Rattus norvegicus: one gene and its partner. The main gene of each other region encodes a partner of the protein of the gene in region 2 in a complex. Links are inferred from orthologs where the notes say so. Each region holds a gene or a part of one and is shown on either strand. Other genes may lie near its edges.

The links.
Region 1: the proteins of Eef1g (region 2) and Eef1b2 are in contact, whole or in part, in a crystal structure (PDB 5DQS), measured with the Homo sapiens proteins. The link is inferred for Rattus norvegicus from reciprocal best matches to the Homo sapiens genes EEF1G and EEF1B2. Residues at the interface, in NP_001395.1 of Homo sapiens: Leu146, Lys147, Thr148, Arg149, Thr150, Phe151, Glu155, Arg156, Pro185, Asn186, Arg189, Leu192, Thr193, Asn196, Gln197, Pro198; in NP_001032752.1 of Homo sapiens: Ala20, Asp21, Lys22, Ser23, Tyr24, Tyr28, Val29, Cys50, His51, Arg54, Asn57, His58, Ser61, Tyr62, Glu65.

What each region holds. Positions count from the first base shown.
Region 1 is NC_086027.1:72,068,090-72,083,772, reverse strand, and holds Eef1b2 (elongation factor 1-beta), read right to left. Parts: upstream 9,683-15,683; 5' UTR 9,608-9,682; coding exon 9,528-9,607; intron 9,079-9,527; coding exon 8,956-9,078; intron 8,447-8,955; coding exon 8,320-8,446; intron 8,189-8,319; exon of another isoform or gene 8,111-8,188; intron 8,034-8,110; coding exon 7,967-8,033; intron 7,850-7,966; exon of another isoform or gene 7,718-7,849; intron 7,604-7,717; coding exon 7,478-7,603; intron 7,381-7,477; coding exon 7,226-7,380; 3' UTR 7,182-7,225; downstream 1-7,181. Other genes in the region: Cmklr2 (chemerin-like receptor 2), read left to right, coding at 3,264-4,325; Ndufs1 (NADH-ubiquinone oxidoreductase 75 kDa subunit, mitochondrial precursor), read left to right, coding at 14,790-14,850, 15,444-15,535. UniProt on the Homo sapiens protein: Catalytic subunit of the guanine nucleotide exchange factor (GEF) (eEF1B subcomplex) of the eukaryotic elongation factor 1 complex (eEF1).
Region 2 is NC_086019.1:215,290,769-215,305,797, reverse strand, and holds the end of Eef1g (elongation factor 1-gamma), read right to left. Parts: intron 14,973-15,029; coding exon 14,814-14,972; intron 13,995-14,813; coding exon 13,931-13,994; intron 13,794-13,930; coding exon 13,651-13,793; intron 13,312-13,650; coding exon 13,168-13,311; intron 10,852-13,167; coding exon 10,722-10,851; intron 10,446-10,721; coding exon 10,241-10,445; intron 6,247-10,240; coding exon 6,074-6,246; intron 5,981-6,073; coding exon 5,856-5,980; intron 5,616-5,855; coding exon 5,457-5,615; 3' UTR 5,377-5,456; downstream 1-5,376. UniProt on the Homo sapiens protein: Probably plays a role in anchoring the complex to other cellular components.

The DNA of each region.
Region 1 (15,683 bases), on a different chromosome or scaffold from region 2:
TACTATTGCCCAGCTTTTTAAATCATAGTCTGAAAATTTTCGAATTACATCTATGTAATTATCTATCTACCCACCCACCCACATTAGATCATGCATCATGGAACGCTTATAGATTTAAGAACAAGTTTTGGGGGGGCTGGAGAGACGGCTCAGTGGTTAAGAGCACTGACTGCTCTTCCAGAGGTCCTGAGTTCAAATCCCAGCAACCACATGGTGGCTCACAACCATCTGTAATGAGATCTGATGCCCTTTTCTGGTGTGTCTGAGGACAATGTACTCATATATAATAAAGAAATAAATCTTAAAAAAAAAAAAAAGAACAAGTTTTGGAAGACAATTCTTTCCTTCCACCATGGGTCCTGGGATTCAATTTTCGGTCCTTAGGTGTGGCAGCAAGTGTATTAACCAGCAACAGCCATCTTGCTAGCCAATCTTCAACTCCTTGTTGTGCTTGAGGATCTTACTGTTTCTGGACGCAGTAGGTCTGTGTTTGCTGTCGTCACTCCTCCAGTGACTTCCTGCTTCTTTCTCCAGTGAACTTTTCAACAGTTTCTTCCTGTCTCAATTACTGAAATCCAGGCATGCCTTTAATCCCAGTTCTTGGGAGGCAGAGGCAGGTGGATCTCTGTGAGTTCTGGGCTTCCCTGGTCTACAAATTGAGTTCTGTTACAGTCAGGGCTGTTAAATAGAGAAACCCTGTCTTGAAGAAATGAAAAATAAACAAAACAAAATAAACGAAAGCCAAAGCAAACAATCACAAAGAAAATTACAGTCACCTCCAGTCACCTTCCTTTGCTCTACCCTCTCATTTTCTATCTCTTTACTGTCATTTAACACAGTACATAATTTTTTAAAACTTATTATTTTATGTTTTACTAAAAAAACAAAACCAAAAACAACCCTCAAAAGGTTCATTGAGATGGCTCAGCAGGTTAAGGGATCGATGTTTAGCCTGGTGAACTGAATTTGATCCCTGGGACCCACATCGTGCAAGGAAAGATCTGTTCCTCCTGAAATTTGTCCTGTGACCTCTATATGTATGCCATGGCATGCAGACCAACACACTAATAAGATGTAATTTACAGCTGCTCATTTTTTTTAACTACATCTCTGCTAGAATCTAACATTTGGGGAGGGGGTGTGCGTCTCATTTAGTACTGGATCTGGAGAATGGTTGCTGATGTGTGTGTGAGGAAGGAGGATCTCCAGGATGAAGGCAGCCTGGCAAACATGCACACAGCTTAGGAAGGAAAGAAAAGGAAAAAGAGAGGAAAGGACTGCAGAGGAAGAAAGGATAGAAAGGGCTCTGGCCAAACATTCACAAGGTCCCAGGTTCCGTCCCCAGACCCACATACACCAGACATGACAGGGCATGCCTATAACCCACTACTCAGGCGGTTGAGACAAGATTGCTGCTTTTGAGGTCAGCCTGGGCTACATACATAGTGAGTTCACAACAAGCCTAAGAGAGCCAAACATTAAACAAACAAACAAACACCCCCACAAAACCTGAGATTGAACACTCAACACAGGAAATTTGATCCAATGTAAAATTGATTAATTTTTGTTGTGTTGTAAGGCTCGAAGTGAGTCTTAACTACCGGGAAACCTCCCAGCCTCCAAGTGAGACACAAGAATGGGGTTTGATGCAAACGCAAGAGGTTTAATTTCCAGTGTGTCAGGGTCGACCTTCAATCAGCTCCTCATGGCGAGTGACTGGAAGGCAACCCTGAATGGCTATAGCAAACAGGTTTTATACTTTTTGAGGTACAGGTTACATCAGCAATGTTTCAGTTTAAACTTACATGACATTCCTTCGAGCTCTATCTGGGACAAGAGGGTCAGGTGACTGTCAGTCAGTACATTCTGCGGATTTTCAAGAATGTCCTGTCCCTGCTCCTCCCGAGAACTTTGGGTGGAGAATGGAACTTGGCATAGCCTTGACCTGAGGCAGGAAGGTGGTACTTGGCCTAATCTTGACCTGAGGTGGTGGGTGTAAAGCTGGCGAAAGCCCTTAGGGTCCTCATAACCTACCTACTTCCTACCAGGCCAAGCCTCCTAATAGCTCTTATGTTTCAGTAAAAACTAGAGTCCTTCAGTGTGCATGTGTTTTTTCAAGACAGGGTTTCTCTATGTAGTCTGGGCTGTCCTGGAACTGACTCTGTAAACCAGGTTGGTCTTAAACTCATAGAGATCCACTTGCCTCTGCCTCCTGAGTGCTGAGATTAGAGATGTATGCTACTACTGTCTAGCTACTTTTCGTCATAATTACAAAAAAAAAATTTCAAGTTAATTCAAAGGAAAGAAGTTGATGTGAAAATTATATGGTTATGCTGACATTTACTCCAAAAGATATCTTTTATTTAGGTGTGATGGCTTATCCCCATCTCTGACCATTTGGAAGACTGAGGCAGGAGAATTGCTGTGAGGCGTAAGCCAATCTAGACTGTACAGTGGGATACAAAGCCATCTACGAGCCCTACAGCGTGATAGCCTATTCCAAGAAGAGGAAGAAAGGCAACACCAGAAACTCAATGTCAAAATACAACAAAAGTAAAGCTATCTTCTAACTGAAAAACCATTTAGCTATATTGATATAGAACTCTGATTGCTGTATTTGCAATCCCATCATCCTTAGGGTTGGGCTCTTAGCCCTTAGAGTGTCTGCTTGGCCTATTCAAGGCCCCTAATTTAATTCCTAACATGACAAAAAAAAATATCCTGGGCCTAAAATACATTCTGGTCAAAATCTTCAGTCTTACTGGTATCTTGGAAAAGGAAGGATCCAGAATGTATTTTTTCTCAAGCTAGAGCTTAAGAAGTCAGGACTACGATTACGGATCTGGAACTCACCACTGTGCAGGTATCCATCTGTTTCCCTTAGCATCTGATATAAACTAACGCATACTAGGAGCCTAATAAATGCCTGCTGAGTGTCAAGATTCTTTCAATGCACCATAATGGGCTACAAGTATTAAGGGCAGAGGACTTGACCTGTACAGTAGATCATTTTCCACGTAACAATTACTGAATCACAGATGAACTCTCAAAACCTTTGAGCCAGTGTGTGTAATCTGTGAGCCTGGGACTTAGACATCTGTAGTATAAACACAAGCCCTTCCAAAAAGAACCCATGTCTTAGTCATAAAATGTTGTACTTTTCAATTTATGTCTTGCATTCATCAAACTTAATTCTTAAGCTTTTCTTTTTCCTTTAAACATTATTTTTCCAGATTTCCTCACTCTCCACCTATAAGATCATCATGGAAGTCTCAAGGGAAATGCTATTTGAAGAACTGGACAACTACTCCTATGCCTTAGAATATTACTCCCAGGAACCTGACGCAGAGGAGAATGTGTACCCGGGAATCGTTCACTGGATCTCCCTGCTCTTATATGCCCTTGCGTTTGTTCTGGGAATTCCAGGGAATGCCATCGTCATTTGGTTCATGGGATTCAAGTGGAAGAAGACGGTCACCACTCTTTGGTTTCTCAATCTGGCCATTGCAGACTTCGTCTTTGTTCTCTTCCTGCCTCTGTATATTTCCTATGTGGCACTGAGTTTCCACTGGCCCTTTGGCCGATGGCTCTGCAAGCTTAATTCCTTCATTGCCCAACTGAACATGTTTTCCAGTGTATTCTTCTTGACAGTGATTAGCCTGGACCGCTACATTCACTTGATCCACCCTGGCTTGTCTCATCCGCACCGGACCCTGAAGAACTCACTGCTTGTTGTTCTATTTGTCTGGCTGTTGGCTTCTCTGCTCGGAGGTCCTACCCTGTACTTCCGGGACACCGTGGAGGTCAACAACCGCATTATTTGTTATAACAACTTCCAGGAGTATGAGCTCACCCTGATGAGACACCACGTTCTGACCTGGGTGAAGTTCCTTTTTGGCTACCTCTTGCCTTTGCTGACAATGAGCTCCTGCTACCTGTGCCTCATCTTCAAGACGAAGAAGCAAAACATTCTGATATCCAGTAAGCATCTCTGGATGATCCTGTCTGTGGTCATCGCCTTCATGGTTTGCTGGACTCCTTTTCACCTGTTCAGCATTTGGGAACTCAGCATTCATCACAACAGCTCTTTCCAGAACGTGCTGCAGGGCGGAATCCCTCTCTCTACTGGCTTGGCCTTCCTCAACAGCTGCTTGAACCCCATCCTTTACGTTCTAATAAGCAAGAAGTTTCAAGCTCGATTCAGGGCCTCTGTTGCCGAGGTACTAAAGCGGTCACTGTGGGAGGCCAGTTGCTCTGGTACAGTGAGTGAACAACTCAGGAGTGCTGAAACCAAGAGCCTGTCTCTCCTAGAAACTGCCCAATGAGTATTTTGTGCCCAGAAAACCAGTGCAAAGTTTCTGTGGGAGCCTCATAACCAATCCTTTCAGATTAGGATTTGTTCCGATCTAAAATGATTGTATTTTTGTTCGGTTACGTTTTTGCGTGGGTATAAAAGGCAGGATCTCTTCCTTGCAATTTAAATCATGTATCTTTCTGCCTGCCCTCTGGTGGCAATTCTGATACTGACACCCTAAAAGTTTCCCCCACTCTTTTAGCCTTCGTCTATTAATGTACGCAATATATGTATCAGATTAAATAATTTTTATAGTGTATACCACATCATATTAATCATCTCTGTTGAAAAACTATCAGGCTGACTTTTTTTCTGGTTTGCTTTTGAGTCATTTTGTGTGTATGTTAATGTATTTATAGATGTACATGTATGTAAACTGTAACTAAATCATTTTTCTCATGGAGACACTCTCTTTTTTTTTGAGACAGGGTTTTTCAGTTGTCTAGAGCTCACCAACCAGGCTAAAATAGCTAGCCAGCAAGTGCCAGAGATCTGCCTAGCTACACCTCAACGAGATTGCCAGTGCTTTCTCTAATGTGTGTTCCAGGAGTTGAACTCAGGTTGTCCTTGAATGCACTCTGGCTAAGGTGAGCCAGCTCCCCAGCTCCCTCATCATCACCTTTTCAGTCAAAAACAAAAAAACAAAAAAACCAAACAAACAAACAAAAAAAAAGCCAACCCTTTTGTTTGGGGTAAGGTCTCACTATGTAGGCTAGGCTGGACTCAAGCTTCCATAAACTATAAAGTATTAGTTGGCTATGGATTTAAAACTTCCATTCCTGTTAACTGTTTATTTAGTAAGTTGCTTAAAACAACAATTTATTGTTAGTATAGCTCAATTCTGAGTTTCTGGAATATAAACAAGACAGGGTGATTTGACCCTGCTTCTTATGCTTGGAGCTTCAGGTAGGTAATAATGCTAATGGCCTTATCTTGGAATACTTGGGCTAGTTAATCAGTAGATCTTGTCCTTCCTCTTGTAATTGCCCCATGACCTCTCCGGGGGTCACCAGACTTCCAGCTGCAAGCCGCAAGTGCTCTGCTATTGAGCCACATCCACAGTCCTCTTACAAGTTATGAATGTCATACACACAGCATTGTTTCCACCATATCAAATTGGCCAAAGCAAGACTAGGCTGGCTCAGAACGAAAGGAAGGGGACAGACTCTTTGCCCCTTTATGAAATATGTCTACAATTTTGTGTTCATTCTTAGTCCTCCAGAACATCATGATTATGGAAAATTCTAGCTAAGTACAAGTGTGTAGATTACTATAAACATGTTTCCAGATGGTATAGATGCTCTTCAGAGAGCATGCACTGACAGCACAATTCTATCTTGTTCTTTTGTTTACAGAGACACGAGAATAAGATGAATAAAATGTACCTTTGTCTGTTCTCCAGAAGCCCTAGAATACCAAGTGGTGCCCTCTGCCGGCTCTCGTGACTCTGACAGGGCCCCAGCCAGCTCTCTTGGTTCTGCTACGGCCCCCAGCCTGCTCTCATGCTTCTGACATGCTCTGCAGCAGGCTCTAACAGTTCTGCTCTAACCCTTTCTCTGCTTTCAGGCTTTTGACAATACTGCCCTCTGCTGGCCCTCATGATTCTAACCTGGAAAAAATTTCTACTACTTTAGGACGGGTCTGTTGAAGTATATTCTCCTTAGTACATGTTTTATTGAATCTATGTATGAACGTGAAGCTTCCCTCACTGAAGGTAGTCAACATAAAACCAGACTGAGAGCAAGAGTACTGTCTGACTGAAGTAACTGAATTATTCTTCTAGAGTCCTATCTATAAAATACAGAAAACTTTGTTTTTAAGACAATGTTTCTTTGTATACACAACTCTCATGGACTTTATAACTCAGGTTGGCCTTGAACCCACGAGTCTGCATTTTTCTTCCTCCTGAGTGTTGTGTTTAAAAATGTGCACTACCACCACCTGGCTCACAGAACACAAACCCCAAACTTTAAAAATTATGGTAAATACATTTAGTTACTGTATGTACCAAATTTTTAACACAAAGCTGAAATGCTGTGATGTACTTTTTTTTTAAAGATGTTTTATGTATGTATATGAGTGGTCTATCTACACCTGCCTGTCAGAAGAGGGCATCGGCTCCCATTACAGATGGTTGTGAGCCACCATGTGGTTGCTGGGGTTTGAACTCAGGACCTCTGGAAGAGCAGTCAGTGCTCATAACCGCTGAGCCATCTCTCCAGCCCCCCATGCTGTACTTCTTGAGCAGTATGATCTCCCACAAATGTTTCCAACAAGTAGCTTTTAGCACACTGCTTATCCCAGCACTTTCCTGCAGCTCTAGGTTCAGATTTCCAGATTCAATGGAAAGACCTCCACACTTGACCACCTTATAAACCTATACAATGTTCCTCTCAGGACATAACGCTATCTTTAGGGATTGAACCAAATGGTAAGCACCCTCGGAGTCAGCTTAGTGGCCCAAGATTCATTCTGCTTTTCAAAAAGGTATTGAACACATCGGGTGACAATTAATTGCTAATTTTTTTTCCCCCGGAGCTAAGGACCGAACCCAGGGCCTTGAGCTTGCTAAGGCCCACTGAGCTACCACTGAGCTAAATCCCCAACCCCGCTAAATTTTTAATAACACATTTTTTATCTTCTTTTTAGTTATATCTATGACACGATAGTGTTGGCTAAAAGGCAACTTCATGTTGGTCTGGATAACCATGGCCCAAGTGGTTTGAAATGCTGAGCAAAATTTCTCTTTCTAGCCCAAGTCCCCACCACTTCACCTTTTCTTCAAAACAAAGTATATCATTTCTCACAGCAAATGAAGAGTCAAGGGTTATCTTTCAAGCTTTTATTTAAGTGCACAGACTTAAGGATGATTTAGATTTTGTTAAAAGCAGCCACATCCATGGACTGTACATAGTCCTCAAAAGCAGTAATCTGCTCTTCCAGCATATCTGTTCCAACCTTATCATCTTCAACTACACACTGTATTTGAAGCTTTTTAATTCCGTATCCCACTGGAACCAATTTAGCTAAAAAAGATCAAGGGGTAAAAAAGTTAGGAAACTCTTTGTGATAGGAAAACTGAAGATGCCCAAATTCCAACCCCCAAACACAAGCATCACTTACAGGAGCCCCACACCAAGCCGTCCGCTTGAATGCTTCGGACACACTCCTCAAGTTTCGTCATGTCTGTCTCATCGTCCCAAGGCTTCACATCTAACAAGATGGAAGACTTCGCAACAACTGCAGGCTCTAAAAAAGGTGAAAAAATGAACGACACCTAAATACTCAACATTTTCACCATTAAGTCAAATCTGTTTGTTTTGAAACAGGCCACCTTCTTGCCAAAAACGTACACAACTCGCCTTGTGTCTGTCACGCATATTCCTCTTTCTATGTGGCTAAGAAAGAGGCATTAAATTGTGTAACAGTTTCTTTCCCACAGAGGAATGCTACAACTGCTACCATAAAGACAGCTGCAGACCAGTAGCTGTGGAAGATGTAAATAAAATATTGACCCATTCAATTTAACTGGGGGAAAACCCACTTTAAGGCCAAGCACTAGACAAAGGCATTCACATTACTAACAATGAAGATAAACCGTAAGTTACCCACTTTTAGCTTTCTTTGACTCATACTGAGCAAGGCGTTCTTCTCGTAGCCTCTTTGCGTCTTCACTTTCCTGTACAGAGAAAAAAACATTTCACAAAGTTGGTTATCTTCTGCTTAAATGTAGTGACAAGGTCATCACAAAAATGACTGGACATCAGAAAAAAGCAAATCCATCAGGAGCTCAGCCGAAAGATGGTGATTCGATTTTATTCATCATGTACCCAGTGATAAATTTTTAAAGGCAGACAATAAAGCCAAGGCAGGATCCATGTCCGGGCAGTGGCTACAGCACCAGTTAGTCATGCTGTAAAGACTGTCTGCCTTATCAATATACTTGTATAAAGAGAAAGGCATACCTCCTCATCATCAGATCCGAAGAGATCAATGTCATCATCGTCTTTAGCATCTGCTGCTCCACTTCCTGTGGTATCTGCCACACTGACAGGGCCATACTTGCCCAAAGATTTCTTCACTCCCGGCAAGCTTGAAAAACAAGCATTCTACAACATTAGGTTGGTGTCAAAGCTCTTTCTGGGCAAAACACACAATCTTCCTTTCCAGTAACTCACAATCTCTTCTGGTTACTTAACCTTAGCACAACCCCAGGTAAATGACCTGACTTTAAAGGAGACATAGTATTCAGTACTCAATGGTTTACTCTTCCAAAATGAACATCTGAATGAGATTCATTATATATCCCCACTTCCATTCTTTAGTTTTAGAAGAATGGCCAGGAATTAAATCAGCTACCCTCACAACCCAGTGGTGCCCCTCCCCCAGGTCAAAACACATTAATGAGGTGTGGGAAAATTGTAAACTGCAGCTGTCCATGTTCTACCTGTTCTGTGAGAAAATGGAGAACTTCAGTCTGTTGGCCTTAATTTAAGGTCACAAAGAAATTTGGTTTACACTAGGTCAACAATGCTAAAGCAACTTTAACCCCGGTCCTACTTTGCCATGCGAAAATCCAGGTAGCACAATGATACTTTTACCTGGCCTTTTCTTTTTCGTAAGATTTGATATGATTATACCAACGCAGAGCATGACACAGGTCAGCGGGTGGTGGACCAGAGATTGCTTCAAATACTGCCACATCGGCTTGTGATGGCACGTACCTGCAGGTAACACAAAAACAAGTACACGCACCTTTAAAAGAAAAGACACAAACACCTAACTGGTAAATGACACAGCCCATACCCGCCAAACTAACTACTAGTGGGAACTATTACAGGGCTAACCTAAATTGCTTCTAATCGGAAGTGCACAAAATATGTTTCAATCTGTACAAGCCAAGAATTCTCTACCACTTGGGAGAACTCAAAGGCTACCTCGGGCTTGCCACAGGTTTAAATTAACTAGTCAGAGGACGCGGAAGAACCGGCTGAACGTAGTTACACGGAGAGCAAGCATTATTTCAATTATTGCGCTGGCAGCCCCTCCAGGGAGGTCCTGCTCCAGTGGCATCCGAGACTCGGGAGACCTAACTCGGCTTCCCCTAGTTTCCGGCGACCCGCTTCCCTCCCGCCGAGCCCGCGCCACGTGGCCCCCGGGGCTCCCGGCTCACCCCTCAATGTAGCTCTTGTCCGCCAGGTAATCGTTGAGCACCTGGAGGCCGGCGGGGGTTTTCAGGTCTCCGAAACCCATGGCGTCGACTGTAACCGGGAGCGGAGGAAAAGAGCGCTAGAAGCCCGCGGCCAGCGCTGAGGGAGAAAAAGGGCCGGGACCGGCCGGAAAAGTCCTTATATAGAGACGGAGGCGTTTCCCTCCACTGCACCGGCTAGAGGTTAAAGGTCAAAGTACGTTACTAGTCTCGTTCCTTCACGTAAAACTGCGTCTTGTGAATTAGACGACCCACAGGTCGTCCGCGGGCTTTTCCTTGTGTTTGGAAGGAAATTAATAAAAGATGCATTTTAAAACGCCTACCTCCAAGGATTCTAAAACTAAAGGAAACGCCCCTTGAGGAGCCGGAGTTGAACGAAAGCATTCGGCCTCAAGGCCTCGGCTACTTCCGGCGGAACTGCAGGTCCAAGTTGTCTTCTCCGCTTTCTCCCGGCTCCCTCTCGTGCTGACGGAAATTGCCGAACAGGTCCAAAGAGGGGAGATTGTCGAATCTGGCTTTGTTGTCCCTCCTGGCTTTCCGTCCGCCAGGTCAGGCTGACGGAGTTAGCCGTGGCCGCCATATTGACTTAGCGGCTGGGTTTTGAGGGGTCAGGGGGATCCGGACAAATCAGCGGGACAACTTGGTGAGCTCTAGAGGAAAGGTGAGGACGCGTTTAAGAGAGAAAGTTGAAGTGCTTCGAGTGGTGTTTTCTTTCTTAGCAGGACTGTGTTCTTTAGGTCAAACAAGTCATTCTCCTCTTGTCCTTGACTGGGCACCACCTCCTGCCCCGCCACCTCCAGAACCCCGGAGAACCGGCAGGTGAAGGTTACTAGCCATAGTTTCTGGTCTGATGGAGCATAAGCAAGATGATCAGGAAACCTTTGGGAGTTCCGGCTTGCTAGCTACTTTCTCTCTGCAGGGGAAGACAGGAGATGGCCCTGTCTGGAGGAGACCGGGTCATTTCCCAGTGTCAGGAAAGACTTAAACATTAGGCGTCTCTTTAGTTGCTATCTTGAAACTGCCCACACTACTGTTTATTTTGTCCAGTTCATTGATGATGTTGGGTAGTATTTTATTCATTCCACTGACGGGGAGAATGACAAAAACTAAAAGCTCAGTCGGAGTTGGAGAGATAGCCAAGTGGTTAAGAGTGCCTTGTAGAGTAGATCCGAGTTCGGTTCCCACTGTCTCCGTCAGAAGGGGGACAACTGCCTTGTTACAGGGAATTTGCCACTCTTTTGGACTGTGAGCACCGGCACTTATAAATGCACATAACCACACAGAGACAAGCACATGCACACATAAATTAAAAGTGAATCTTAAAAAGTTAGCTCTGAGTCCCACTGCAAATCAGGAAGCTGCAGTGTTCTCAAGATTCATGTCTTAAGATGAAACAAAAATTTCTGGGAATCTCCTCCCCAGCCCCCACTGAGTTTTGCATCTTTGAATCTATTATTCTAAGCCAGAACATCAACGCCCTTTATTTTTATTAGTTACAGCCAAGATAGTAGAGATATGCCAGGGTGTGGTGGTGCTTATCTGTAATCCTAGACGGGGGAGGCTGGGACAGGATTGAATGGAGGAGTTTGTGCATGCTTAGGTAAGGACTCTACTGTTCCTATTTGATAGATACCATGTCTGAAATGCATATTCTGAAATGCATGCTGGTGAGATAGCTTAGTTGGTAACGATGCTTGCTAAGCCTGGCATCCATGAGTTAGGTCTCCAGGACCCACATTGATGGAAAGAGAGAACTGACTTTCAAAAGTTGCCTTTGACTTCCTCATGCGCCTGCCCCACCCCCTTGTGTGTATATGGTAACCTTCATCCAGTAAGTAAATGAATGTCAACAACAACAATAAAACATATACGAAGCTGAACATGGTGGTACATGTTGCTAATTCTGCCCCTTGCTTGGGAAGTGGAAGCCTGAAGTTTAGGAGTCCAAGTTGATCCTTGACTTCATAGCAAGTTTGAGGCCAGTCTGAGGTACATGAGATATATCTAAAAAAAAAAAAAAACAAAACCCACCAAAGTAAAAAAACCACAGCAAAACAACCTGTACAGTGCATAAGCCAGGTTATCCTCAGACTCTTTATGCAGTGCAGGCTGTTTTTGTGGGATGAGGTCCCATGTATATAGCTCAGACTGGCCTCAGACTCCTGATTCTCATGCTTTAGGCTCCCCAGTGCTGCAACCACAGGCATAGACTGCTGTGCGTAGCCTCATCAGTACCATTTAAAACAGAGATAGATAACTGCTCATTCTGGAATTTGGTGGCAAAACTACTTGGGGACTTGCTAGTCTTCAGAAAAGAGAAATAGCCAAATTTTTTGTCAAGGAACTTACAGTCCAGTAGCTAACAATATTGATGATTCACCTTCAGTTTAGTACTGTGGGTTTGTTTGTTGTTTGTACTACGGATATAGTCCAGTGCAGCCTAAAGGAAGTGGTCCTGCATTAAAGCTACCTGCTCTGTCCAACTCTAGTAAGTAGAATAATAAAATATATACATGGTGTGTTTTTAATAAGAAAAAGGGCCACAAACAAAGATCGCTGTACAACTGATTGTTAATAGCCATTACTGATTGCCTTGCTGTTTTTACTGCAATTTTTTTCTTTGTTTTTATTATTGACCTAGTAATAATACCCTAAGAAACAGTGTAGATTTGCTCTATAGGTAAAGAACCAATACCTAGTAGATAACAGACTCGGTATCTGCAAATTCAGTTTGTAAACTGTAGATTTCCATTTTTAAAGAATTAATTAAATAAATTAAATTATAAGCTAATGAAATATTTAATTATATATCATCTATAATAACTACAGACTTTAATGTTTAGGATTCTGTTTTATCTGAAGTGGTAGTACATGCTTTTAATTTCAGCACTTAAGAGGCAGAGGCCTGTAGGTGAATCTCTGTGTGTTTCAGGCCAGCCTGGTCTCTACACAGCTAAAAGCCAGTTGTAGTAGCACATGCCAGCGTATGTTCAAGAAGTATAGACAGGAGGATCATGAATTCAAGACCTGCCTAGGCTATACCTTTGGGACTGGAAAGATGACTGGGTGGTTAAGACTGTTCTTTTAGATCTGATTCCCTAAAATTACAGGGCAGCTCAGCAGCTGTCTGTATCTCCAATTCCAAGGGATCTGATAACCTCTCCTGGCCTCCTTGAGGTGAATAGACATACATGCAGACAAAACACATAACAAACACTTTTTTTAATTATTAAAAAGGAAAAAAATCTGTTTTTTGAACTATTTTCTATTAGTACTGCTACTGCTGTTGAGAAACATTTTTACTGTTTTTTTAATGTTGATATACTCATCACTTTTTTTTTTTACTATCTTTAAAAGGTAAAAACAAACAGAAAAACAACATATCTGTAATCCCAGAAATTTGTAGAAAAGGATTTTAGAGACTGTGCTGCATAGTTTTATGTCTATTTGACACAAGCTAACATCATCTGAGAGGAGGGAACCTCAATTAAGAAACTGCTTCCTTCTAGCCCTCACTTCCTTCAGTGATGGATGACAATGCTAACCTCTGAGTTATCTCTCTGGCCTTTCATTTAAATTATTTTTTAGTCTTGGTTATTGAACCTAGAGCTGTCTCACACTTGGTACCACTGAGCCACATTTCCATCCTTCACTTTACTTTCGATTTAAAAAAAAACTTTAAAATAATTTATTCTCTCTCTCTCCCTCTCTCTCCCTCTCTCTCCCTCTCTTCTCTCTCTCTCTCTCTCTCTCTCTCTCTCTCTCTCTCTCTCTCTCGCACACACACATACTCTCCCCCCCCCCTCTCTCTTTACTTTTGGAGACAGGGTTTTTGTAGCCCTGGCTGCTAGAACTCACTCTGTAGACCAGGCTGGCCTTGAACTCAGAGCTCCGCCACCCTCTGCATCCCAGGCACTGTGATTAAAGGTGTGCACCACCATGCCCAGCTTATTCTCTTTTCGTATATGAGTGCTTTGCCTGCTTGTATGTGTGTGCTCTGTGTGTGTTGGCACTTGCAGAGGACATCAGTAACAATTGTGGATGGTTGTGAGCCTTTGTTTGGGCCCTGGGAGCAGAAACCAGGTTTTCTGCAAGAGCAACATGTGCTCTTAAACTGCTGAGCCTCTCCAGTTAACCTTTTTATTTTTGAGTCAGGGTCTCACTAGATTATCCAGGTTAGTATTGAACTCACTCAAGGTCTAGGCAGTCTGGGAACATGGGATCCTGCTGCTTTAGTGTCCCAAGTAACTGAGATTAGGCCTCTAAAACACCCAAAGCAATGTAGAAGCATTGTTTTAAAACCTATTTTTATTAGCTTTTGGGAATTGGTACTGAAAGGAGGAAAATGCCAAGAGTTCATAGTGCGTTTAAGATAAAAGCATAACACAAGCAGATTGTAGAACTGTGAGAGAACAAAGATGCATCAAAGGCTTTTGACTTCTGAGCTACCTCGGAATATCTTAGGGTCATATATAAAATATATATCATGATATATATCATGAGAGAGTGCATACTGGACCTAGTCGTGGTAGCACCCAGGAAGCAGAAGCAGATTAATAATGAGATCTGTCTCAACAAAACAAAATCCCCAACGTACTGGTGGGAGATGAAGGCAGAAAGGTATTTTATGTATTTTAGATAGCTGTTAATGACAAAGAGTTATTCTTGCAACTTATTTTACTTTATTCTTAATTCTTTTTCTTGTATCTCTGCCTGACTTCAAACTTGCTGTAGCAGAAGATGTCCTTATACTTCTGATTCTGCCTCAACCTCCCAAATTCAGCGATTGCACACATATAATCTGGATTATGCTGTTCTGATATTAGAACCTAGAACTTCCTCAGTGCTAGGCAAACACTCTTATACCAACTGAGCTGTATTCCAAGCTCTTACCACTTTGTTCTGATTATATCAAAACCGCCCTTTACTTTGTATTACAGAGCCCAAGTTTAGTGCTGGAGATGTAGCTCAGCTGTACCTTACCTATCTATGCAAGGACCCAAAGTCTGCTATCTGCTAACTACTTCTCAGTTGTCTGATATTGATACTGTATTGCTAGTGTTTCTGGGACTGCATATTATATGTACAACTTGAGGGAAAACATTGAATCCGAATATTCTCCTAGAATAATGTATGTGAAACCATAAAATAGTACCAGGAATTTTATAAGTAGGTGGGTCTTTTTCTTCTACAAAATTAATCTTTGTTTTATTGCTTTTAGCCATCATGTTAAGGATACCTGTAAAAAGGGCCTTGATAGGCCTTTCTAAGTCTCCTAAAGGATATGGTAAGTTTTTGTTGTATATTCATGAAATTTTTTTAGAGATTTATTTATGTATATTAAAGTATACTGTAGCTGTCTTCAGACACACCAGAAGAGGGCATCAGATTCCATTACAGATTGTAATCCACCACGTGGTTGTTGGGAGTTGAACCCAGGACCTCTGGAAGAGCAGTCAGTGCTCTTAACTGCTGAGCCATCTCTCGAGTCCCATGAGTATTTTTGATTATCTTTATAAATGCAAAAACCAAACCTAACAACCATGTGTTTGATAGAGTTGAGTTAAAAAAGCTTTTATGCTTATTTAGTGCTTGAAAAGTTTGTGTCTTAGCCAAGCCTTTAATCCCAGCACTCAGAATGCAGAGACAGGTGGGTTTCTGAGTTCAAGGCCAGCCTGGTCTGGCTGGGTCTTTCCAGGACAGCCAGGGCTACAGAGAGAAACCCTGACTGGAAGAAACAAACAAAAATGAAAAACAAAATTTGCATCTGGAAAGAGAAGACTAGTAAAAAATGATAATTTTTTATATTTAGCTAATTCATTAAGCTCTTTGAATTCAACTCGGTTAATTTGTTTCTCACCTTATTGTTTTGATAACCAGTTCGATCAACTGGCACAGCAGCAAGTAACTTGATTGAAGTATTTGTTGATGGTCAGTCTGTCATGGTGGAACCAGGAACCACTGTCCTGCAGGTAATGACTTTTGTGAATCTGTGTGTTCCCTGATTTATATTTAAAAATTATTTCCTTCATACTGTTTAGTTTAAATATAGAAATGTGTCCTGCAAAGCAAGTAAGTGAAGGATAGTATGTTATTTCTCTAAATTTCTCCAGAAATAAC
Region 2 (15,029 bases):
GAGGGACAGAAGTCTTAGGTTATTCAGAGAAAGGAAAATAACTAAGTAGAGGGAAGGATGGGTACCTACACCAGCAGTGGAGAGACTCCATGCATGGTGGTGCCATTAGAGATCAGGGAGAGAAAAAAAAGCCTGATTGCTTAAGAGAGAGAAGGGGGGATAAGAAAGAAGGCAGGCACTCAGACTGGGCAAGCAGTGTTCTAAATAGGAGCAAAGAGAGGGAGCTAGAGTAAGTAGAATTAGCCCAGCCTGTTTTCCCTCTCCAAAGGGACAGGGAGGGGCAGAGACATTGGGGAACACCAGTCTTGGAATCCGCTTTCTAACTTCCTGTGCCTTCCTGGGGGAAAGGAATGCCAGCCTGGGTTTCCCTCCCTCTTCTGTTCACACTTCCCCAAGCTCAGTTTAAGATCAGGCTGAGAAGGCAGGGCCTAGACTGCCCAGAGCCTGAGTCACCACATAGTTGAGGTTCCTGTCACTCACAGTCTTGCCTCTGCTACACCCTATGCCCTCTGCCCGCCCCAGGACTTAGATTGCTGTAGCTGACCCTGCCCTGGGACTTGCTTCACTTCTAGGCTTCTTAGCACTGGGCTAAGTTCTTAGCAGCTCTGGGCTGCTAGAACCTTTGGAAGCTACCTACTCCCTGGCCTACAAAAGTTGCGTTCTGTATCCACTGTAATTACCACCATCTTCTGAGGGGAGCGTTCTCCTAGTTAAGAGCAAAGGTGACTCAGTATGTGGCCACAAGAAGTACGTGGGATAAGTCATTTCCCCTCTCTGGGCTCCAGTTCATTGACATGTGAGATAAAGAATGACTGGAGATGGTCTTACTGACAGCACAAGTGAGGTACATTCTGTAAGACTGAGTCAAAGAAATGGATACTTACTATTTGAAGAGAGTAGGATAAAAGGCGTGTGTTCACTACCTGTCCTAACAGTAGAAATGAATGGGGATGGGTGGGGCAGGGCCAGGCAGAGGCATTGCCCCCCTTAAGGAAGCCAACGCCCTCAGAACGTATGAGTCAAGTCACACATGGTGAAGGACTGGCTGCAAAGTGCATTATGGCTCTGCAGTTTGAGTCAGGGGAAATGAGGTTCTCCCTGATGACTGGCTAGGGTCCGGCTACGGCTACAACAAACACTCACTCTCCCTTACATCTACAAAGTTGTCAGTCCCACCTCAGCTCCCACTTCCTGTTCAGCTGCTTTCTACTCCTCCCATTTAACCTAGGCAACCCCTTTCCTTAGCCCTCAAACCCAGTCTTCCTTAGCCTCCGCCAGTTCCCTCATGCCCTGCCTGCCATGCTCCCAACTGCCACTAGCTCTGCCCATCCTCACTGTCCACCCCCAATGCTGGCAGAACCAGCCAGCTAATTGCAAAAGGGCTGAGCCAGCAAGAGGCCTTCACATGACAGCTGCTGCTGCTGCTGCTGCTGCTGCTGCTGCTGCTGCTGCTGCTGCTGCTGCTGCTGCTGCTGCTGCTGCTGCTGCTGCTGCTGCTGCTGCTGCTGCTGCTGCTGCAAGGGGATGGGACAGCTGGAAATAGAGGCACATTCCATGGAAGATCCCATCAGAAAATAGTCCAATAGCCTAACCACCTCAGCTCCTGGTCTGTGCAGTATCAGGGATGGGGAAGTAGCTTAGCTGGTAGAGTGCTTTCTTAGCACAAACGAAGCCCTGGGTTCAATCTCCAGCTTCATAGAAGCCAGGTTCAGGATCACACGCCTGTAATCCTAACACTAAGGTGAAAGAGAATAGAAGTACAAGGTCACTCTCTGCTCTATCACGTGTTCAAAAACCCTCAAACCCCCTCCCCCCCCCCCAAAAAAACACAATTACCGATAGGCTCCAAAGAATGGATATCCAAGATTAACCACTACTTAGGTACCCTAGGTATATTTCCTCTTGTGATTAAAGTGACTAGTGATGCTCTGCAGATGTCCCCTGGAGAAGGATCTCTACCCCAAGCCCTAGGCACTTGAGCACAGGACATCCCAGAACTCCACTAGAGTTAAGAGACAGCCTACTCTGGGATCCATGCCAGCCTGATTTAGTGCACACAGACAGGAGCAGGTGGTAGCTTCTCTTTCAGGGGCATCAATATTTCAGTGGCACAGCATTAGGGGAAGGGAGTAGAGTGGGTACCCTTAACTACATTCATCCACACAGAGGATCAGAACAAACTGGAATATTATACCTTTGACCTCCCACTTTGAGAGCCTGGGCAGGCTACGGCCTCCCGACACAAGCCATCTGATATATATGGAGGGATGTTCTAAGGAGTGCTAGCTGTCACAGAAACTATTCATTTCAGGGTGGGGCCCTCAAGACACTCTTCAACACACACACTTGCATCTTTCAAAGGGGGAAGTGGCACATTTAGGGCATGTAGGCAGCTGGTGGGTTGACTCCAACCCAGGGAGAACAGCAGCTGTCCCGATCTAATTCAAAGTAGGACATGAATGGAAGAAAAAAAAAGATAATCTAGGTCTATCTTCACAGAATTTTAAAGAATCTTTACTTTTTAACAAGCGTTTTATGCAGAGTTGCCAACAAAGCTAACTAAGAGCTGCTTCTGACTAGTGTCCACTGGCTTATCTGCAAGCTAAACCAAGGCTCTGCATTCCCATTCACACTCTAGACTCAGGCAACTGCAACTCTAGGCCCCGACCCCGCTCTAGTTTCCTGAGCTCTGAGATTCTGCGTTAAGTGGATACAATGGCCTCCTTCCACTAGCTTCCAAAGACCTCAGCCTGATCCATTCCCAATCTCCTCTCCCCTGACCCCTAACTTTTGCCGCCTGTTGTGGGCAGTGCTGCCAACTCTCGACAGTGGTTGGGAGCAGAGAAGCTCCCTGGCACCAGAGCAGTAACAGGCTCATGCTTGTATCTGTGGCTGATGGTAGAAAGGACTAGGCTCTGACAAGATGCCTCCAGTCCAAACTGAGATGGGGGAAGGCCAGGCTGGCAGTGTGGTGACTCAGACCTCCCCAGGGCAGGGTGGAACCAAACTAACCCCAGATGTGCTTCCCCTTTCTGCACAAGGCCACCCCCACCCCAGCCCCCACCCCTTAGAAACTCCTGTTAACTCTTTCCTAGGGGCCCAATCCCAAAGCCTTCCTTCCATAAGCTCTTCTCAGATCTACAACCCGTGTGCACTGGCCACCCTTCACCCTGCAGCAAAGCAAGCCGCCAGGGTCAGAAGCCTGAAGCAGGATGTACAGATGAGTCACCCTGCCTGCAGGCTCAGAGAGGAAAGGGAGCTGAGGTGAGGGTCTCTGCCCACCTCCAGGCCAGATTATGTAGGCTGCTTGGCAGACTGCTGCCCAAACACTGGTCCACCCTGAAGAACTATCCTTTAACAGTCAGGCCTCCGGGCCTGCCTACCTACCCTTTATGCAGCACACAAGATGGTCTTTTTACAATCCTGTTATTGGAAAAATGAAAAGGACACCAAAAAGTAGTGGAGATTGTACAAGAAAAGTAGGGGGGGGGGTAAGAAACAGAATTTAGGAGTCTGACAGGTTCAGTGAGGCCCCAGCAACACCCAACACCAGCATCTAGTACTGAGAATGCCTGAGGCCAAACTGCACAGGAGTAAGGATCAACCCACCTTTGCTATTTGGATTCTAAACTACAACTCCCACTCCCACTAACCCATCCACTCTTAAAAAACAAACAAACAAACAAACAAACAAACAAACACCAACAGCAGGTTCCAGGTTCCAGCTTCGCAGTAGTCTTATCCCTTAGTAAGGTCATTCTTCTTCCTCCCAAGACCCTTCTCCTAGGCCTGGACTAAGGGATGGGTAAGAAAACAAACACAAAATCCTGTACCAGATGGAGGTCAACTTTCTGCAAATACTAGTTTCTAACTCGTTTGCTTTTTGTTCTCAAGTAGCCCAGGCTGGCCTCTACTTCTTAAAGGGTGGGTGGCACCAAACCTAAACGTTTTTAGAGACGGGAGTTTTACTGTGTAGCACTGATGGTTCTGGTAATACTGAAGATGGTTTAAATCTGAGGCAATCTAGCCTTGGCCCTGGTCTGCCATCAGGCCACAACTGATTTATGTAGTAAGTATAGGGGAATGACCACAGGGCAGCATGAATACCAGGCAAGCACTCTACCAACTGCGGGTCTACCCAGCCTAGGATCTAATCTCTAATGTGAGCTGTTAAAACTTGGGAACACCTAGATATGGAGGCGCATTCTTCTAACTCCAGTACTTGGAAAGCTGAAGAAGGAAGGGTCACTGTTAGCCTGGCCTGGCCTAGAAAGAGCCTGTATGGAGCAAAAAAACAAAAACAAAAACCAAAATTGTTGAAAGGTTGTATTAGGAAATAATCACAACTTGGTATTCCAGGCTTCAGGCCACACCTCCTGGATTCAGCAGCCAGATTCCACCTCAGATGTGTTTACCTAGAGCTACTGTGAACTGTCCCCAAGCTTCCCTGTTAGAAAGCATGGATACCAAGCACCCAAACCTATAATACTAACACTTGGGAGAGGCTGAAGCAGAGTCTTAAACCTGTAGCCCGCCTGGACTACACAATAAGAAATGTTTCAGAAACGAACTCTAAAGGCTACAAGATGGCTCAGCAGTTAACAGCACTTGCTCTTCCAGATGACCTGAGTTTGGTTCCTAGCACCTATACTGGGCAGCTCACAACTCCCTGTAACTCCAGCTCCAGGGGCTCCAATGCCCTCCCCTGGCCTCCAGGGTACCTGGACAATCATGCAGTACGTGCACACCGACAAAGGAAATGACTGGAGTGATCCACAGCCAGCCAAGGACTAACAAGCCAGCGCCTGCCCCAAGTGGCTGGTCTTCTAGAATGTTTGCAGCATTTAAGCTGGACAGTGACATCCAGCTACTCACCTACCTACCCTACAAGGCTTCTATGAGGAAATGAGACTTCCCTATCTATCTAACCATATTCTGTAGAGAACTTAACTGCACTGGACAGATGTAGGCCCTATGACAATACAGCACCATTTACACAAGGTTCTCCAGCATGAGGACTACATATTGGGTTACAGCAGAAACCCAACCCACACAGAGCAGCAGCTGTGATAGAAATGCCTCTGCATCCGTGAGCTCCCCTCAGCTCAGCGTGGTCAGCAGACACTTTCTTCAATGGTTAGTGTGAAACACAGCTTCTGAGAATTGGTCAACTGTGCCCATGCCACCACCCTGTGTTTCTCATCTTCCCCAGCTAGAACAGCATCATTGTAGGAAGCAGGGCAATAAAGACAAAACTAAGGCCAGGCCTCTACTTCTGCTCTTCTGAAAACTTCTGCCCGGCCACAGTGATGTCTCAGGCATAGGCAAAAACTTTGAGGAAGCCATCAGTCACAAAGGAGGCAGGACAGGAAAAAGTTCAATGTTCAGTTTCCTTTAATGACCCCCATCTCCCTTGAAGGATAGGTGCAGGCAGCTAGGTGACTGGCAAGACATGTTCACTTGAAGATCTTGCCTTGATTGACGGCTTTGCCAACGTGCTGGAAGGCCCCCTCCCAGGAAAAGTACTCTCGAACGAGGGTCTGGGTCTCCTCGCTACCAGGATCCAGTTTCCGCCATGTATATGACTCATAGTCCACCTGCCAATCTGGACTCAGCTGAAGGTTTAAAAAAAACCAATAACAAAACAGCACAGAAGCATGTGGTTAGACACTGGACACTGAGACACCATCTCTCTCCAAATTCTAGCTCAGACATGATGGCAGATGCCAGGATTCGCACTGATGTGAGCATACTTCCTATGTTCACACCCAGAATTCTTCCTTCATACTCACTGGCCACAGCTCAAGACTCCTAGTTTCCCATGTTATAGCCCACTCCCCCAGCACCATCCTTACCGGAAAGGCAAGATCTTGGCCTCGGAAGACCCAAACCCCAGAAATGGAGCTGCTGTTGTTGGTTCCAAACAGGATAACACTAGCAAAGGCATTCTTTCTCAGTTTGTCCAATCGCTGAAACATCCCTGGAGGGGAAAGGGGAGACTTGTCTAGTCTCTGGAATCATGTCACCACCACCTTGATCTTCTTCCTCCTAGATCCACCCCTCCTCTTCTCACCAGTGATGAGGTTACAGCTCATGAAGGTCTGGGTGAGCTCTTCAGGGAAGCGGTACTCAGCATACCACAGGGACCAGCCATCCTTATCAAAATGCTCCCAAAAATATGGCAGCGCCACAGAGAGGGTGTCCTCATTGGAGTACTTTCGCTTAAACTCATCCAACACAAAGGTACTAAAGAAAAGAGGAAACACAGGAGTCCATAAGAAGTCCTACTGAGACTGCAAAGCAGTTCTAGGCGGGTGGTGTTCACTTAGTTCCTGGTATGAAGGAAGTGGTCCCTGTAATGCAATGCAGTGACTGACACTTATAACAGCATGAGTGAAGAGAATGGGGGGCTACAGGTGGCGTGATATGAAGAGCTAAGACATTTCTGTCTACATGTCTTGACATGCATAGACTGACCCAGAGCATCTGGTGAGCCAAAGCCTTTTAATGTTGTAAAACTGAAACCAGCATTCTAACTATGATTTGTTCAAGGTTTATTGTTTTGTGGTTTTATACATTTTTTTAGAGCACTGGGTATTAAACTTGGAGGTTCACACATGCTTAGACAAAGTGTGTGACATTCTAGTTACACCACCAGTCCTAGCTTTTTGAGACAAGATCTTGTTATAGACCCTGTGAAAACCAAGACTCAAGCATGCCATGAACCCAGTAAGGACAGCTGGCTGCTGCCCCCAGGTGGTGGCTCAGAGCAAAGCAGTCTGTTTTTCTCTCTCTAGCCTCTCCAGGACTTTCACCAGGAGACACAAGTCAATGCTCAAAGTCTGAAACCCACCACACAGGCCTTCCATAGGCTGGAACCAGAATGCAAGCAGAAGATAGACACCTCAAATCTTTACACCTAAGTCCTCTAGTTCCTCTTTGTCCATTAACAAGTTTGCATACTGAAAAGCTCTTAGGTCCAGGTTATCTTCAAAATAACCTGATATTCAAGGTCAGCTGCCAAGAAAGCTAACCGGCACAGGAGGAATTCTGTCCCCATGGCTCCGGTCCTACTTTTTTCTTCTCTCCAATTATAAATTGGTTCTCAAGCATCTTTAGCTCCAGTTCCAGAGGATGTTACCCTCTATCCTCTACTGACCTCCTCTACCCTCTCCTGACCTCCTTGGGCATTAGGCATGCACACACTTGGTGCATATACAAACATGCAGACAAAACACTCATACACATAAAAATAAATCTATAGAAACTTAAAAAAAGGTCACTGACTGAAGAAAACCTATGATCTCAGTAAGTGGGATAACTACTCTCTCATGTCCTTTCCTTTGTGTTTCCATAGATGCAGCCTTGAGTCACTAAGTTTTGTGTGTAACAACTTAATACTACAACACACTAGGAATAATTCTTACTAGGTAAGTAGAGCATAATCCTAGCATGAGAAACTGAGTAACAAGGATCATAGGCTCAAAAACTGCCTGGGATGCTATGTGAAAAGAAACTTTCACAGCTAAGTAGTCTATACTGCAAGATTGTGCTGCGACCTACCACGACTGCTAAACAAAGTCAGTTAGATTCTTACAAGTGCAGGTGACGCGTGTGCCATACTCAGTGCCTGGGAGGGAAGAAACAGAGGATCAGAGTCCAAGGTCACCATCCTCAGACACATGCCAAGCGCCAAGGCCAGCTGGTTTAGAAAAGACCCTGACTCAAAAGCTATAGTTTAAGGATCCTGTTGTTTAACCCCATTCTCACAACTCCTGAGTTATATTGCTATCTTTCTCTCATTTCACAGCTGAGGTTAGATGGCAAAACTTGTCCAAGATTATTACTTCATAGCAAAGTCAGAAGTCTGCCCTTTAACCACAGGTCCCGAATTGGTCTCCAAATGTCCAGGAGGAAAGTCATCTGAGGAGCCAGAAAGCCTCAAATCATCCTCCTTCCAGCCAAAATGTATGACTAGAAACTTAAAAAAAAAAAATTTATTTACTTACTAAATATAAGTACACTGTAACTGTCTTCAGACACACCAGAAGAGGGCATCAGATCTCATTACAGATGGTTGTGAGCCACCATGTGGTGGCTGGGATTTGAACTCAGGACCTCTAGAAGAGCAGTCGGTGCTCTTAACCACTGAGCCATCTCTCCAGTCCTAGAAATTTCTTTAGACTCCAAGTTCCTCAAATAATGCAGATCAAGTATGGTCTGTATCTCAGCACAGGGACTATAACAAGATCTTGCCCCAAAGAGCTCGAACTTTGGTGTAACTAGATTGTATAGCACTTTGACTATGTCCCTAAGCATATGTGAGCCCCAACTGCAACTCCCTACACGCTATAAAACCACAAAACAATAAACACGACCAGAATGAAACCTTGAACAAGTCACAGTTAAATTGCTGGTTTCAATTTTGACATTAAAAAAAGCCTAAGGGATGTTGATAAAACGTTCTTTAATCCCAGCACTCAGAAGGCAGAAGCAGGCAAATCTGAATTTCAGGACAGCCACAGCTATCATAAGGGAAGGGAATTGTGGCAGCTCATGTCAGAAATCTAGAACCTGGGACTGAGACAAGGAAGCTCAGGAGTTAAGGTCACTCTTAGCTACACAGTTGAGACCAACCTTTGATACATTAGAATCTGTCCACAAAACAACCCAGGTCTAGAGAGATGGCTCAGAGGTTAAGAGCCCTGGCTGCGCTTCCAGAGGTCGAGTTCAATTCTCAGCAACCACATGGTGGCTCACAACCATCTGTAATGAGAGCTGATGCCCTCTTCTAGTGCTACAGTGTATTTATATATAATAAATAAATCTTTAAAAAGAAAAACAAACAAACAAACAACAACTCCCACAAACCAACCAACAGCAAACAAAAAGTCCTAAGGAAAAAACACTATCATTGTAACACAAAAAAAATAGACATTAAAAACCACCATGGGGGGGAGGGGGATGTTTGCCCGGAAACCGGGAAAGGGAATAACACTCGAAATGTATATAAGAAATACTCAAGTTAATAAAAAAAAAAAAAAAAAAAAACCACCATCAAAGGTACATAAGATGGTTCAGTGTGGGTCAAGATGCCTAATGACCTGACTTTGATCCCCATGATGAGACAACTGACCTCATTCAAATTGTCCTGACTTCCATACACATGAATGCTGTATCTCTATGGCTGGCAAGAACAGACACACTGACACATAAATTTAAAAATAAAATATTTGTAAGGAGAAAAGGCAGAAGAAGGAGCAAAGATGTTCAAAGATTTTGTTTTCTCTTTATTTCCTGTCCATAATATAAACCAACTTACTGTGTATAAGAAGTGTCTCCATTACAACAGCATATATTAGATACGCTAGATTTTTTTTTTGCCTTGTTAGAAAAAAAAAATCCCAAGAAGCTGAAAACATGGTTCAGTGTGTAAAGTGCTTACTATGCAAGCATGAGGAACTGAATTCAGCTCCTCAGCGCTTACACAAAAGCTGTACACAGTGGCTAACATGTTAGTCCCCAGAGCTAGAGCGGAGGGCTAGACGTAAGTGGATCCTGGGTGCTAGCAGCCAGCCCAGCAGAAACAGCACGCTCTAGATTCAACGAGATTTCAAAGGAAAAATAAAAGAGGGGAAAGCCATATAGGAAGACATCTCAGTTGACCTCTAGCCTCTACACATACACCCAGGGCACAAAGTCATACAAACAAATAAAAGGAACTTCCAGCAGGGTGCATTCCAAGATTTGAGGGGCAGAGGGAGGGGATCTCTGAGACCAGCTTGGTCTATGCAGAGTTCCAGGTCAACCAGTTACAGTGATACCCTGTCTTAAAAAAAAAAAAAAAAAGAAAGAAAACAAAAAAACCAAAGGGGAGCCAGGCAGTGATGACACACACCTTTAATGCAGGACAAGAGGCAGGGATGGATCTGAGAGTTAGGCCAGCCTGGTCTACAGAGTGAGTTTCAGGACAGCCAGGGATACACAGAAAAACCGTCTGGAAAACAAACAAACAAACCAAAACAAACCAAAGCAGTACTTCCCTATTGGTACATGCCTTTAGGTAGGCAAGATAACCAGTCAGAAACTCAAGGTCATCCTCCACCTCACAGCCTCTGAACCAGACCTGGACTGCATGAGACCTGGACTGCACTTGCACCATCAGTATTTCAACAGCCTGAAGTTGCAGCCCTAGACATGTGTGAGAACAAAGGTTGAGAACACCTTCCGACAGGTTTACCTCTTGGGCAGGTGAGCGAAAGGGTCCTTGGCCTTGGGCTCAGCAGCCAATGCCTGCTCACACTCATCCATCTCTTCCTCAGGAGCTGGGGCAGCTGCCTTTTTTTCCTCTTTCCGCTCAGTCTGGGGCTTCTGCTTCTCTTCTCGTGAGCCCTTTTCTTTCCTCGGGGTATCCTTTTTTGGCTGGCTCTCTGCGAACTTCTTAGCTTGTAAAGGAGGGAGGAAAGGAAATATGCAGCCTCTTTCTTTCCCCCGCCCCCGCAAACCAGGCAGCAAGCAGGGAAAGTGATGGCTCGGACAACCAAACACCCTCAAGGAGCAAAGCACACATCATCACAGCACTGCATCTTAATGTAATGTCAGTTACTGTGCGACACACTATGTTCTGTGGGTGAACAAAAAAGCCAAAGGCCACACAAATCATTCGGTCGACAGGAGCAAACTGGACCCTGACCCTATCCATGCCCAGTCTTCAGACTTACCATCAAACTGAGCCATCTTTTCACACAGCTTCACCTCCCCCAAGATGGCCCTGAACTGGGGCTGGTTAATGCAGGTAAGGAACCATCGGTTGGTATTGGGGAAGGCCTGGCGAAAAGAAGGCTCTAAGACCTGCCAGGACGGAACACAAAGAAAATCAACAATGGAAAGGCCACGAACAGAGTCACACCAGAGCACAAGGCCCTTACCTCAGGTCCACTTTCCTCTCCAGGCCCTGACATCAGAACCTTAAATGAGTACACTCCTGGAGGACTCCTTCCTTTCCAAAAAGTGCACCGTTTTTATGTGTATGAGTGTTCTGCCTACATTTACGTGTACAGAACATATGTGCAGTGTTCCCTGAGGCCACAAGACAGTGTTAGGATCCCTTGGAACTGAAGTTGCAGATGACTGTGAGCCATTATATGGGTGCTGGTAATTAGACCCTGGTCCTCTGAAGAGTGGCCAGAGCCCTTAACCCAGTGCCCTCAACCACTAACTGTTGAGCCATCTCTCCAGTCTCCTGTTTTTGTTTTCCTTGTCTCCATCCTGCTGTGCTGGGATTACAGCAGCTTTCTCCACTGTCTTTACAGCTCAGTCTAAAAGGATGGCTGTTCCCACTCCTTCATGCACCATTATGCTACTTAATGCTTTAATATTTTGCTCTTTCATCTACTCTTAATTTTTAAAATTTCATGCCAATAAAAATTTCAACAACAGTTGAAAAGGTCTGGTCTACAGAGAAACCTTGTCTCAAAAAATAAAAAAACAAACAAACAAAAAAGGTTGAAAAGGCTGTAATAGAGCCCATGTAGGAGCACCAGGCTAGGAATCTAGCTCAGTAGTAGAAAATGTGACCCAGCATCCACATGACACTGCGCTCCAACCCAGCACCCAAATGGGGTCGAGTGGGGTGACCACTACACTCACTTTGCTAAATAACCCTCAAAAAAAAAAAAAAAAAAAAAGACACCTCATGTGTGATGCTAATGGAACATAGAGCATGCTGGGTAAATCACTGGGCTCCACTCTCATTCCACACTGCAACCATAGCATTAATGACACAAGCAAACCCAAGACCAGATAGAGTAGCTCAGCAACACAGCATGTGCCCAGCAGACAGACAGAACAGCCCTTCAAGCCTTCACTGAAAAACTTACTATCCTCTCTGTATGTTTATTAGTGCTTTCCTTTCAAGTTGTCTGTGCGCAGTCACAAGACACTGGCTCCTCCCTGAGCTGCCACTTGTGTACTGGGAAATGAACACAGAACTCTGCCAAAGCAAGTACTCAAAGTGCTGAGCCATCGCTTCAGCCCCACACTAGCGTCTTTTAAAAAAAAAATCTCATTTTTTAATTTTTATGTATATAGGTGTCTTGCCTGTGCGTTTGTCTAAGCACCACATGCATTCCTAGCGCTCATGAGAGCCGGACAGGGCATCGGATCTTCTGGAAATGGAGTTAGAGTTGTGAGGAATCATGTGGGTGCTGAGAATCCACCAGAGTCCTCTGGAAGAGCAGCAAGCATTTCTAACTATTGACTCGTCATCCCTCCAGCCCCTGTCATCTTTTACTTTGCCAAAACAGGAGAGGGTAGGAGGGTAAATCTTGCCATGGAGGCAGATCCCAGATCCAGTCAGTCAGGGACTGCAAGCTCTGCAGTAATGGTCATCATCCCTGAGCACCCACTAGCTGTGTGTGAACATGAAGCACTGTAACGACCCTGGGAGGCACACGGTTGGTAAACAACAGCTCTCTTTTTTTGTTCTCGTTGGACTACAATTCTGAACCAGAATGGGTTCAGAGCTGCTGCCTGAAAATCTGTAATATTTAAAAATTAAGGGGCAAGGGATAGTTGGAGATGGTTACCTGGTTTGATTCGCAGCCCCCACAGTAGCTCACAAGTCAAGCTCCTTGGGATCAGCGTGCACATACATGCAAATGCACATAAACGGAAATCTCAAAAATGCTGGAAAAGCTAGGTCTAAGCCGAATATCACCTTGAATGTGTCACAGATAAGCAGAGCTATGAGGATTCCTGTCCCACTGCATCTGCAGTGAAGCCAGGACACAGACCTGAGTCTGCCTCCAAAGGCTGCTGAGTCACCGTCCCTGCCTCTCCCAGCTTCCATCTTGCTTTTTATTTCTGATATCACTACACAGCCTACAGTTATACCAGAGCAGTCCTCCTGTCTCAGCATCTCAAGTGCTGGGATGACAAATATAAGCCACCACATCCAGCCTTTCACCCATCTTCAATAAGATGAAAATACCCTGGGTTCGGTCCCCAGCTCCGAAAAAAAGAACCAAAAGAAAAAAAAAAAAAAAAAGATGAAAACAGTCACAGTTCTCAATGCTGGGATTCCTACAGCCATTAACTGGTCTGTCCTAAGTGGAACCGGGTACCCCAGTACAGGTCTACCCCTGTCAAATGGGACACAAACCTTACCTGTTTATAGAGCCACAATAGGGTACAGACAACCGTGATGTCAGCCAGTGTTACTCTCTCACCAACCAGAAAAGTCCGTGTCTTCAGATGAGTGTCCAGCAGCCCCAAGATTCGCTTCACCTCCTCTTTGGCATTTTCAGTGGCCTGTTGTTTTGAATACTCAAACTTAGTGGACAGCAAGTCCCTTTCCTCATATCCACCTACCAACAGAACTAAAGAAGCCATTTCATCAGCACTGACTCAACCCCCACCCTGTTATCATTAGACTCTGGGGTCAGTTGAAATCTATCAGAAATGAATCTCGTGCTAAGTTTCTTCATGGTCAGTATGACTTTATTTCCACCATACTGATGGTAACCACTTCAGTCTTTGCACTGCCCACACAACTCCTGGTGTCTTTTCCTTCTTCTACTTCCCAGCCCCAATACGTAGTCTCTGACCCCAACTCTGCCCCAGCTTCTCTCCCCAAGTTCTGAAGCGTACCTGCTTGTTGTGGTGCATAATGCCTAAGGTGGGGAACACCCAGGTGCTGGCTGGAGGGACGATGTCACTGTCAGCAAAGCTCACCCACTGCACCACTTGCGCTGCTGCCTCTGGTGTACTTCCCCGTAGCTCCTCATTGCTTACTGCAAAGGGAGAACATGTAGCTTAGAACTTGAGATCACGTCAAAACCAGTGCAATCTCTGAATCCATCTTGTCCACTGCAACCACTTCTGCAGCCTTACCCCCAGACCCTCTCACTCCTGTATCCCCTCAAATTACCGTAATAGGCGATGGCATTGCTCTCAAATACGCAGAATCCGTCATCGCCCTCAAAGGCTGGAACCTAGGGAGAAAGTAGTGAAAAACACAAAAGTAAAACACAGGGATTTCTCGATAGTCAACTCTTGGGATTGAACTATGCTAAATAATGTTAAGACAGACACCTCTTGCTATGCAAACTCACGACATCTTAACTCAGAAATGAAAAATACTTAGTATCCCTTATATGAATTCACAATGGCTGGAATTCAAACATGGCTGAAACACGGTGCCCTATACCCTTAATCCCAGAACTCTTATCTGAAACCAGTCAGGGCTAGTTGAGACCCCACCCCAAAATAAACAAATTCAGATACAGATGTGGGACAAGCCCACAGCCTTATCCCCCAAAGCATAGGTGCAGTCCAGATTCAGCGTCTGCCCTCCTCCACGTTTAACTTAGGATATTTAGCTCTACTCAAGCCCTTCAGGATAAGAAACTCTCAAGACACACTTAATATTGGTGTACAGATAACACCTGGTAAAAATAATTTCTATCCCACAAACATACAGCAGGTCTGTAATTCTTGACAGTCACTCAACAGCTGTGACTATCCCTTCATAAATACCCACCTCCAATGATTCTTTTTCTTTAGGGAGAATACATACTGTATAGGTTCACCTCACACAGTCTTCCTGCCTCAGGCTCCAGAGTACTGGGATTACCAGAAGCTTTCAAAATTACTTTTTTTCTTTGGACAGTCAAGTTCAGGGGCTTTCATAGCTTACATCCCTGGCCCCATGAGATTTTTAAGGAAAAAAAAAAAAAAAAAAAACAAATATACTGCGGAGGCCATCTCCAGAATAACGGGACTCTAGGGATTCCTGCTGTTCTCCTACTCACCTTGCCCGCAGGAAATTTTCTGAGAAATTCGGGGGTGCGGTTGGTTTGGCCGAAGTGGAAGTGGGGTGGTGCGGAGAGCACGCGGATCTGAGCCCCGCTGTACTGAGCAGCGATGAGGGCCTTGAAGGCCCTCCAGTTTTCAGGGTATGTGTACAGGGTCTACAAGATAAAGGGTGAAGGATGGCCTTGAGCAAAAGAATCCTGAATGCCACTCCC